Danio rerio: one gene and its partners. The protein of the gene in region 2 purifies or fractionates together with the protein of the main gene of each other region. This does not show direct contact. Links are inferred from orthologs where the notes say so. Each region holds a gene or a part of one and is shown on either strand. Other genes may lie near its edges.

Region 1 (3,315 bases), on a different chromosome or scaffold from region 2:
ATCAAGAATGAGTTTTACAACCTTAAAATATTTTTAAAACAGTGCATGTTTGTAATAAATACAATAAAATCGCTACGTAATTTATCACCACAGCTGCATGTCAGTACAATTATAAAAGAAAACGCTTCAAATCCCAGTTTGTGAACTTAAATCAGGTTTATTTTGTACATTAACATAACGGATGTCCATAAATTAATGTATATCCTGTCACATTTGTCGTACAAAAACAGTGCAAAGATAAACGTGGGGTGTTTGCATGCACTTATTGTGAGACTCATCATTGCAGAAAGGCTTGAATTAACTCCACAACAAATATATCAAATAACAGTTGGGAACGTTCCTACTGTAGTAAGGGAGATCTACTTCATTCCTGTCTGTCACTATGGTGTTTATCTATGTAAAGGCTACACACATCGGCGAGATCTCTGCAGCTATGGCACGCACAGTAGCTATGTTTTTTTATCCACCTATTTTATGCAATTGTTTATTTTATTTTGCAAATGCGCATAAAAAAATGCGCAACAAACTAACTGGATAGAATAAACTTTTTATTCGATAAGAAAAAATGTGCATAAACTGCGATGGAAACACTTTTACCGCACAAGCTCCAGCATGCGCATTAAAAAAGGTCATGTGATTTTGTCAAAAGAGATCACGTGATGCTTAAAATGTGTGTGAATGGATAAAACGTCAGGCTGAGCACATTATAAAACATCTGAAATGTTGTTTTGATCATTATAAAACGCCTTACCATTTCAGTATTAATGTTATTATATTATTAATGACCTCCAGAATCAAGAGCGCCTGTGCTCCGCGTCTGACACTTTCAAACGCCACTGCGCGCTCACTTCTTGTCAGGATTGTCTTCTGAGGCGCATTCATTTAGAAAAGATTGATGCAGCTTCTCCTACTGCAGCAAATGCAGTTTTTACTGTTGATATTTGGCGCCAGTTAATCAGGAAGTGACGATTTTGTTCGCTTTGACTCGTTGGATGGAAACGATGCTTCATTCGCACAACTTTTATGCGATAATCCAGTTTTGCGCATAAAGTTTATTCGCATTTTTGGATGGAAACATAACTATTGATGGCCACGGAGAACCAGCTTTTTTGCGTTAAAGGCACAGTCAACAAAAACAGCTACAATGTCCAAATGTCCCAGATTTAAAAAGGTATATTAAATAATCTGAAGGGTGTTTTGAGCTGAAACTTTACAGACACATTCTGGGGACACAAAAGACTTATATCAAATATGAAAAAGGAGGGTAAAATAGGTGTCCTTTAATAACATTGCTGAAAATGGTTCTTCACTTTTAAAAATAAATGTTTACAAGACTTTTTTTTATATTTACGGTGATGGCATAGAATCATTATGGGTACCAATAAGAAGATTTTAACAATCTAAAGACTCTGTTTCCACTATGAAAAACTATTAGTTAAGAGGAAAAGCGCATGGATTAAAATAAATCTCATAAATATACATAAGTCAATTGCACTTGGCACTTTTTGCATAATAAGCATAATTTTAAGACTATACATTGCATACATCTGTTTATATTACTCCACAATCAGTATTATATATTGTTTACATTCAGACATATTTATATATTTACATTTCATAGTTACATTTCCGTCACTTCTGTGTACATATGTGTATGTCGTGTATGACTTCACTGTGGACGGCAAAGTAAGAATTTCATTGTACAGGGAAGCATGTTTCCTTACTGTGCACATGACAATAAACAAATTGCATTGAATCACCTTTATTTTAGTGTGTACGTTTATTTGTAGCATTTGACTTGTAACATCATGCAGATACAATAGCAGTAACATTGGCTACCATTCACCGATTTTTCATTCATAGGTTCCAGAGCTGAAAGAAGACATTCGTATCCCAGACTATTGTTGTCTTGGAGAGGGAGATGAGGATGACATTACAATCAATGCCTGGTTTGGGCCTGGAGGGACTGTCTCTCCTCTTCATCAGGATCCTCAACAGAATTTTTTGGCACAGGTAAACGTGAGCCAAATGGTTCGTCTGGCATTTGAGAGGCAAGGCAGTTTGATGGTCCCCCCCCCCCCCCCCCCCCCCTTTGATGGCATTATGGCTTTGTTTTTGAATGTCAGGTGGTTGGACGAAAATACATCCGGCTTTACAGCCCAGAGGAAACAAAAAGTCTGTATCCACACGAGTCGCAGCTACTCCATAACACCAGTCAGGTAGAAGATGTTGTTTATATTGTTATTTAAACATAGACGCCAACATTACAGTAACAATTATAAAAATAATGAAAAACAATTAGGCAATCTTTGAGTTTCAAAATTGACAAATTTAGTTGATTTTGCATGCAATACTTATTTATAAAATTATCAGGAGCCGATAAACGCAGATAACTTTGCAAATGAAACACTAATTGTGATTACTGTAGTGTTATTTTGAATCTTTTTCATACTGTACTTCAATTAACTCATTAAAAGGCATAAAATCTGCCTTTTTACCCCTGTTAGTGTAACTTAAAAAAACTATTTACACTGTGCATTGTTGTACATTATAAAACTTTTAAAAAACAAACAGTTTGTTTTCCCCCACCAGGTGGAGGTGGAGAATCCAGACCTGGTGAAGTTTCCAGATTTCAGTAGAGCCTCTTATGAGGAGTGTGTTCTCTGTCCTGGGGACGTCCTCTTCATCCCACTACAGCACTGGCATTATGTGCGATCCCTAGAGCTCAGCTTTTCTGTCAGCTTTTGGTGGTCCTGATTTGTACTGAATAAACCAGCATTCTCAGTTTGTGTGTGCTTGTCTGTGTTCAAGTCTTAGTTTTAGTTTTTTCACGATGACCCACTTCTCAGCACTTGCATCACTTTTTCAAAATACATGTGTAATATTCTATTAATATCGTACTGGTGGTATGTAATCTACGGCCTATTCACACTATGCTATCCGAACCGTGCCCAGGCCTGTTTCCCGTATTGTTTAAGAAGTGTGAGTGCTCTGAATCGGGCTCAGACACGGTTCACTTGGCCGGTCCTGGCCTGGTTGGACGAGGTGGGCCAGAGGTGGGTTTATTTGGGCTTTGGCGCGGTACGCTTGTGTGTGTGAATGCAAAACGCACCTTAGGTGGTATAGTTGCCTTGAACCGGGCCAAAGCACGCTTGTCGCCACTCCCATCTCCCCCGACGGCCCGCACTCACATTACATTCGGTCCTGGGCACGATTACATCATCGATGCTGTGGTGTGTGGTGTTCAGTAAGCGCTCTCGCTCAGCACAGTGGACATTTCTTCAGTTATATTGTTTGGGATGCGGTGACATGCAG
Region 2 (4,370 bases):
AATCAGATCACGCTCAGAAATAAATAATAATCAAATTCAGATAAAAACTTTATAAAACCCATTTAGAAATTTGAACAGATGTGAAACCAGGTCACTTATAAGAATAAATGAAATAATAAATTAAATCTGATTTAACTTCTGTTCTTCAAAAACTATTTTTTAAATATTGCATTTTAATCTGAATCATCTTTCTGAATCAGATCAGACTTAGAAAAAGTTGATTCAGATCAGATTTGAGAGATTTAGATTAAAAAGCAATATTAAATTTGATTATGAAGAAGAACAAATATTAAATCAGATTACACAGAAAATTATATCAGATTCAGACACATTAAACATGACAAATTTAGATAAAAACTCACTATTATAGATTCTGAATGAGAATAAAAGACATTTAAGCAGATATGATGACTTAACAAGCAGATTGTGACTACAAATCAAATAAAATCAGATTCAGAAATTATTTGATAGATTTATATTAAGCCACATTAGTATTGTTTTTATTCATACCTGATATTACATCAGATATTACAACAGGTTCCGTTCAGATTAGATTCAGACATGTAAATTTGATAATAAATACCCAGTAATTAATTTTAGAATCAGATTCAGACCAGAAATAAAACTCAAAATGACAAAATATACAGATAAGTACGGGACATGAACCAGACATAACAGATTAGGATTCAAATTCAACATTAAATCAGATTAATGTAAGAAATGAAATCACATTTCACAAGTTCAGATAAGACGGATTAATTCAGATCTATCAGATTCAGATCAGAAACTAGCTAAGACTAGCACTACCCTAGCACACATCACGCACTCCCCTCAAAACCTTTATCAAAGTAAATTAACAAACGCAAAATCTCAGCACACTTGAAAAAGAGATAGCAAACAAACGTTTTATACAGTAAGAGACATCTTTAACACATTTTGAACACATTTAAGTGAGATTAATCTGAAGTGTGCACCTGTAAACTGAACTCATGCTCGCAGCCGGTGACTTTAAACCACTTTATTATTTCTACACAATAAACGCTCACCTGGCGCTCCAAAGCTGCTGAAGCCGAAGCCTCAATATTGATCTCGTGGTAAGCGAAGTGAAATCAGTGTAAATGTCAGTTTTTGTGTTTTATTTACAGTGGTTACGGACGCCGTTATTGACAGCAGCCCTCAGATCCGCCATAGAAACAAAGTGAAGCAGGAAACGCGACGCGCTTCCTTCTAATGGCTTCAGAGCAGATGTCAAAATTAAAGTTTTAAATAAGGTAAATAATATAATATAATATAATATAATATAATATAATATAATATAATATAATATAATATAATATAATATAATATAATATAATATAATATAAAAGTATGATTAATTCTATGTCATTATTATTATCGATTGTATTTTATTTCTAAACGTATTTCATTTACACTTTTATTTTGACAGCAGACATCGGTTTGGCTTCCTCACAACTTTTCGTGCACAAAAGCAACTGACAGTTCTTTGTGTTGACCAAAGTAAGTCAATGAGTTGGTTTGGCTTTGGGTTTAATGGTTTTGGTCAGATCAGTCGGGCAGATGTGAGCGGACAGGTGAAGTGTAAAGTGAACTCACCTGTGCTGATATCAGATGATGAGTGTAAATCAGGTGTGAACAGATCAGACCGCAGAATCAGAGCCTGCTGGAGCTCCAGAGCTGATCTTCAGCAAACACAATGTAAGTCAAACACAAGGGGCAAACCTATTTTCTCTGACAGATGTTTTTTTTTTTTTTTTTTTTTTTTTTTTTTACTTAGTTTTTATATAATATAATTTACACAAACTACATCTAATCTGTAATACAGTTGTTTACACTAATATGTCTATATTTATAAATAATGTATGATGGTAAATCATACTAAACCTTTACTAATTTAGGACCGTTAGGATTACCTTAATGATTTACATTTGCTAAATGCCAGAATAATGAGAGAATTTGTTTTGCATTTTGTTTTTTTGAGATTTTTTTTAATTAATTTCTAGACAGTCAAAAGTTTACACACATTTCCTTGGTATTTTTTTTTATCTTTGCTTTTAAACTATAACTGGTCAAGTGTTTTGGGTCTCCTTCCACAAGCTTCTCACAGTAGTTAGCAGGAATTTTGGCCCATTCCTCCTGACAGAATTGGTGTAACTGAGTGAGATTTGTTGGCTGTCTCGCTCGCACAAGCTTTTCAACTCTGCCCACAAATTTTCTATAGGATTGAGTTCAGGGCTTTGTGATGGCCACTCCAAAACATTCACTCTGTTGTCCTTAAAGCACATTTGAACTAATTTGGCAGTATGCTTAGGGTCATGGTCTGTTTGAAAGACCCATTTGTGGCCAAGTTTGAATTTCCTGGCTGATGTCTTGAGATGTTGCTTCAGTATTTCTACATAATGTTGTTTCTTCATGATGCCATCTATGCTGTGAAGTGGACCAGTCCCCTCTGCAGCAAAACAGCCCCACAACATGATGCTGCCGCCCCCATGCTTCACAGTTGGGATGGTGTTCCTAGGCTTGTGCGCTTTCCCCTTTGTCCTCCAAATGTAACACTGGTCATTATGGCCAAACAGTTCAATCTTAGCTCCATCAGAGCAGAGGACATGTCTCCAAACATTAGTCTTTTCCCAGTGTAATTTAGCTAATTGTAATCTGGCTTTTGTTGTTGATTCTGGCTTGTTGATTTTCCCATGTCGTCACACAAGGAAGCAGTGTGTTTGAGCTTTTCCTTCAATACTATTCTACAGTTGTGCCTCCAATAAACTCAAATGTTGTCAATTAGCCAATCAGAAACTTCCAAAACCTTGATACCATCATCTGAGCTTTTTCAGAGGCAGAATAATCTGATTGTGTGTAAACTTGACTTTCAAGAAAAGTTATAACAATTTCTCAAACAATCTCTCTTTATGTGCCTTTTTATAGTGCATGTAAACTTCTGCTCTCAACTGTACTGTAATTTTTGTGGACTTTTTATTTTACTATATTATATAAATTGTGTATATAATTCAAACGTCTAGTTTACAAAATTGCAATATAATTTAAGTAATCCAACAATGTGACCACAAAAAAAACTTGTCAACTTTTTGTAAAATGTTTTTTAAACTCCACGTGTGTATATATATATATATATATATATATATATATATATATATATATATATATATATATATATATATATATATATATATATATTATATTTATTTATATATATATATATTTATATTATATATTTATTTATATATATATATATATATATATATATATATATTATATATTTATTTATATATATATTTATTTATATTATATATTTATTTATATATATATATATATATATTTATTTATATATTTATATATATATATATTTTTTTTTATTTATATGGCAAAGATAAAATAAATCAGAGAAGTTATTAAAACTATTATGATTAGAAATGTGTTGAAAACATAATCTCTCCATTAAACAGAATTTGGGGAAATAAATTAACAGGGGGGCTAATAATTCTGACTTCAACTGTATATATACACACAGACACATATATTTATAAATATAAACACAGAAATAAATAAATAAATAAATATGCTGTTGTTTGTGTTTCAGCTGGCAGTGGTGTATATTTGTCAGGGTGTGTGTGTGGACCGTCAGCTCAGGTGTGTGTGAGTCAGGGCTGCACAGACGCTCTCATCAGCGAAACACACCTGACGCTCAGCTTCACAGACAGAGTGGAATTATGGGAAATAAAACCGCAGCAAAACCAGCTGGTGTGGAAGAGGGAGCACGAGCTCTCAGGTAAAACTGCTGATATACTGGTGTCTGTTATTGCTGTGAGAATTCTGTGTGTTTTATCTAAATCAGAAAGAGCTTTATTGCCAGGTATGTTCACATAGTATGCTGTTAAATAAGTGTATATGTGTATAGCAAGTAGTCACAATTTCCATCAAGTGTTCATGAGATGGATTGCCTAAGGGGAAGAAACTGTTTGTGTATTAGGGTGCTCTGAAGCGTCGACTAGAAGGTAACAGTTCAAAGAGGCAGTGTGCTGGGTGTGAGGGGTCCAGAGGGATTTTGGCAGCCTTTCTGCTCGCTCTGGATAAGCAGAGTTCTTTGAGTGTAGGGAAGGTTGTACCAGTGATTTGCTCAGCAGTCCAAACTAATCAATGTAGTCTTCAGAGGTCAGATTTGGTAGTTGAGCTAAACCAAACAGTTATTGAAGAAATGGTGGTGATGATATTGAGTGTTTCAGCAGAACACACTGCCGCTCTGCCGCTGGTGTCCGGCGGCTTCGTCCAACACAAACCTCCTTTCTTCCATCCTCTGAAACTGTGTGCTGTGAGTCTAGTGTTGGGATCTGAAC
Region 3 (3,658 bases), on a different chromosome or scaffold from region 2:
TTGTGTAATTCAGAATAAACTCTGATTTCAGTGGACAATGAAGCATTTTGCTTTGTAGTTGTACTTTTTGTATTACATTGTTAATAAATCTTGGGGGTAAGAGTTTAAAACAATGATTCATTGGTTAATGAATTTACTAACATTAGGTTTATTCAAAGTCCCTTTAAGGCAAGTTATTTTACTCGGCAGTCATCTTTGTAACGTCTCTCAGGCAGCATGCTCTGTATGCTTGGGCATTCTGTTTGAATGGGGAAACATCAAATTCTCCAAAATTACTTGCCAAGCTAATGATTATATTTCATATTACGAATAACCAATAAAATAAAACAACAATTGTCATTTTAGTTTCATTCCTAAATGTTCTTATCACACAAAATCTGCAGAAACTCACATTTGGTCCAAACCCCTCCCCCGGAGAATTGTCATTCTATAGTGATCGCTGATTGGCTCCTGTACTAAAGGCGGGGCTTCATTCGCCATATTGACAGTTGCACTTTTCCCTATTCAAAAGTATATGAGTGACACGTCATCTGTATTCTATAGTCTTTGGTTTAGTTTTGTTTAGTTTAGTTAAAATTTGACAGGACAGAGTATTGCAGCACAAGTCCCTGAAATGCGTCAAACACACACTCAAAAAATAATTGACTAATAAAAATACTAAAATATAACATTTATTGACACACTAATTAAAAAATATCAAACACTATAAGGGTGCTTTCACACCTGTGAATTGATTCAGTTGTTCCGAAACAGGGATTGAAATTGTTACACTGTTGCTCTTGGTGTGGTTTGCTTTCACACTGCAAAGTTTCTAATCGGACCAAAAGAGCTAAAACAAGTCACGTGCGAGTAAACTCTCCTCACATTGGTCAGAGTTTCAGGTTTTTTTTGCAGAGTCCCGCTCAGCTGCCAGGAGAGGGTGTGGATTGGTGGTGTTTGACAAGGTACGTGCGACGTCTGAAGAGTGAGGAGAGATGCGGTGAGAAGGGTGCGCGAAGTACCCTTTTTGAGGACCGGGAGGGAGACGCGAGATTGTTTGTGGGCTTCCGGAGACTGGGGAAACTTCCCGCCCTACTCATAATTCTCTCTTCATATAGCCCTATGCCTATTACATATCCATAAAACAAAGTAATATAACCGCGCTCGGATCGGATCGCTTTCTCACTGCAATCGATCCATTCCAGGGTTTGTTTCAATCGAGCCGAGACCACCTCCTTCAAGCGATCTCGGAACGATTGATTTGGCGCGGATCCGAGAGCGATTGGTGGTTTTACATATGCCAAACGAACCGCGCATACTGGGCAAAAAAGACAGGTTCCGAAGCAAAACTGTAGGTGTGAAAGCACCTTAAATGATAAGTTTTCTATACAACAATTTCAGAGCATGAGAATAAAGGAGAGTTCATGATGTTTAGTTTTACTCCTCTAGGTATAGCAAATGTTTTGTCGCCAAAGAAAGTTGGATGACACTGGAGCCTTAGTTTGAATAATTATGTAAAGCATTTATTAATCGTAGTCCAACATCAACTAAAGCAATAAAATCTAACGTTGTGCTTGTTAACATTAGTTATTGCAAATGTATTACTACTATTATTAGAAATCACTTTCCTGAACGCTCGCGTTCAATCTGCCTTATTGGTGGAATGAACTCCCTAACTGCATCAGAACGACAGAGTCACTCGCTGTCTTCAAGAAACGACTAAAAACTCAACTATTTAGTCTCCACTTCACTTCCTAATCTGCAATTGCCACTCTGGATATACCACTAACTGTACTAAAAAAACAAAAAAAACATTTTTTTTACTAATGCTTTCCTTCTTAGATTTTACAGACCTGAAGCTTGCCTATAGCACTTATTCATTGTTGCTCTTATAGTTGTGTAAATTGCTTCCTTGTCCTCATTTGTAAGTCGCTTTGAATAAAAGCGTCTGCTAAATGACTAAATGTAAATGTAGTAGTTTGTTCATGTTAGTAAATACAATATTTTAAAGTGTTACCATCTTGGTCTTACAGGAGTAAATGTGAGTATACTTAAGAACTGGTAATATTTGATAGTATTTCTTTGCATAGACATGTGAAAGGCCGTGTTTTGGTGGCTCTAGCTGACGGGACACTGGCCATCTTCCATAGAGGTCTTGGTAAGGCACAAGTTTTATTTAACTGATAGTTCAGATACTCGTTCCAGCTTCAAATGATGAAATATAAAGCCACATTCCATGTACTTTTACAGACAGCCAGTGGGATTTAACCAACTACCATCTTCTGGACCTGGGCCGGCCGCATCACTCAATCCGCTGCATGACTGTGGTTCACGATAAAGTGTGGTGCGGCTACAGGAACAAGATCTACATCATTCAGCCCAAAGCTATGAAAATCGAGGTTCAGCATTATGTTTTAGTCTTCAGTAGTCTTAAAATTGTTTAATTACATTTAAATGTGGTTTCCTCAGCATGCCTAAAGTCTGTGTGAAGTTCCTGAGACCCTTATGTCAGTATGTTGATGTCCTTTCAAGTGAAACGGAGTATTGAGTAAGGGCCGGGACTTTGTTTATACGCATCATTCTCTCATAGCAAACCAATGGGAATGTACCTCCGTCATCTACTTGTTATCAACGCTTCTTAATAGCAGATGTAATCAGGGCCTTTGTGTTTGTATGTGAAAACAGAGGTCTTTTGATGCCCATCCGCGTAAGGAGAGTCAGGTGCGTCAGCTGGCCTGGGTGGGTGACGGGATCTGGGTGTCCATCCGGCTGGACTCAACGCTTCGCCTATTCCATGCTCACACCTTCCAGCATCTGCAGGACGTAGACATTGAGCCTTACGTCAGCAAAATGTTAGGTGAGGATGTGTTTATGCTGTTATGTACTTGTCTCCCTTTTTGTTCATTAGTTCATTTTTCTCCGGCTTAGTCTATAATTTATCAGTGCTGACCACTGCGCCACTGTGCTGCCCTCTCCTTTTTGGTATAGTTCGTTTCATATTTAATTTCGTGGTGTTTATTTTTTTATTTATTTTTTTAAATCTCATGTGTTTTGCTCATTTATGTACTCCACAACCGTGATTTGGAGGCCCAATAATGCAGGCTTTTGAAAGCCGGTTTCAAAGTGCAGATTTATAAAAACAAAAGCGTAATTGTTTCCACTACATAAACTACAAAAATGTGATTTAAGGATAATGGTCACATCACTTGCATATCGGTTATATGTTCAGTCTGTATGTGTGAGAACTTGATGATAATCATACTGGACCGCATATGTGTAGGTGTGCAGCGTTTTTTTTTAACTAAATGACATTGCTGACCTGAAAGTATACTCTACTTTGATTTTTCACAGATATGTGAATTTAATTTTAGGAAACGGTTCCATGATTATGCACTGAATTGCAGAACAGCATATAAGCATACATTTTCTATAATTACACAAGCCTCAAAGAAAATTTTCTCCTTTTAAATTATTAATTCACATCACATTAAATAAATATCGCCCCCTGTTTATTTTCCCCCCAATTTCTGTTTAACTGAGAGCAGATTTTTTCAACACATTTCTAAACATAATAGTTTTAATAACTCCTCTTTAATAACTGATTTATTTTATCTTTGCCATGATGCCAGTAAATAATATTTAACTAGATATTTTTCAAGACACTTCTATACAGCTTAAA

Evidence for each region.
Region 1: the proteins of rccd1 (region 2) and kdm8 purify together in Homo sapiens (co-immunoprecipitation; 3 studies listed by BioGRID and IntAct, counting the BioPlex papers as one, with this or other methods). This does not show direct contact. The link is inferred for Danio rerio from reciprocal best matches to the Homo sapiens genes RCCD1 and KDM8.
Region 3: the proteins of rccd1 (region 2) and spag9a purify together in Homo sapiens (affinity purification with mass spectrometry; 3 studies listed by BioGRID and IntAct, counting the BioPlex papers as one, with this or other methods). This does not show direct contact. The link is inferred for Danio rerio from reciprocal best matches to the Homo sapiens genes RCCD1 and SPAG9.

Annotation. Positions count from the first base shown.
Region 1 is NC_133178.1:43,226,743-43,230,057, reverse strand, and holds the end of kdm8 (lysine-specific demethylase 8), read left to right. Parts: intron 1-1,863; coding exon 1,864-2,013; intron 2,014-2,126; coding exon 2,127-2,219; intron 2,220-2,592; coding exon 2,593-2,757; 3' UTR 2,758-2,787; downstream 2,788-3,315. UniProt on the Homo sapiens protein: Bifunctional enzyme that acts both as an endopeptidase and 2-oxoglutarate-dependent monooxygenase.
Region 2 is NC_133200.1:3,812,439-3,816,808, forward strand, and holds the start of rccd1 (RCC1 domain-containing protein 1), read left to right. Parts: upstream 1-1,460; 5' UTR 1,461-1,526; coding exon 1,527-1,716; intron 1,717-3,616; coding exon 3,617-3,805; intron 3,806-4,259; coding exon 4,260-4,370. UniProt on the Homo sapiens protein: Plays a role in transcriptional repression of satellite repeats, possibly by regulating H3K36 methylation levels in centromeric regions together with KDM8.
Region 3 is NC_133178.1:17,102,948-17,106,605, reverse strand, and holds part of spag9a (sperm associated antigen 9a), read left to right. Parts: intron 1-2,069; coding exon 2,070-2,137; intron 2,138-2,229; coding exon 2,230-2,378; intron 2,379-2,664; coding exon 2,665-2,836; intron 2,837-3,658. UniProt on the Homo sapiens protein: The JNK-interacting protein (JIP) group of scaffold proteins selectively mediates JNK signaling by aggregating specific components of the MAPK cascade to form a functional JNK signaling module.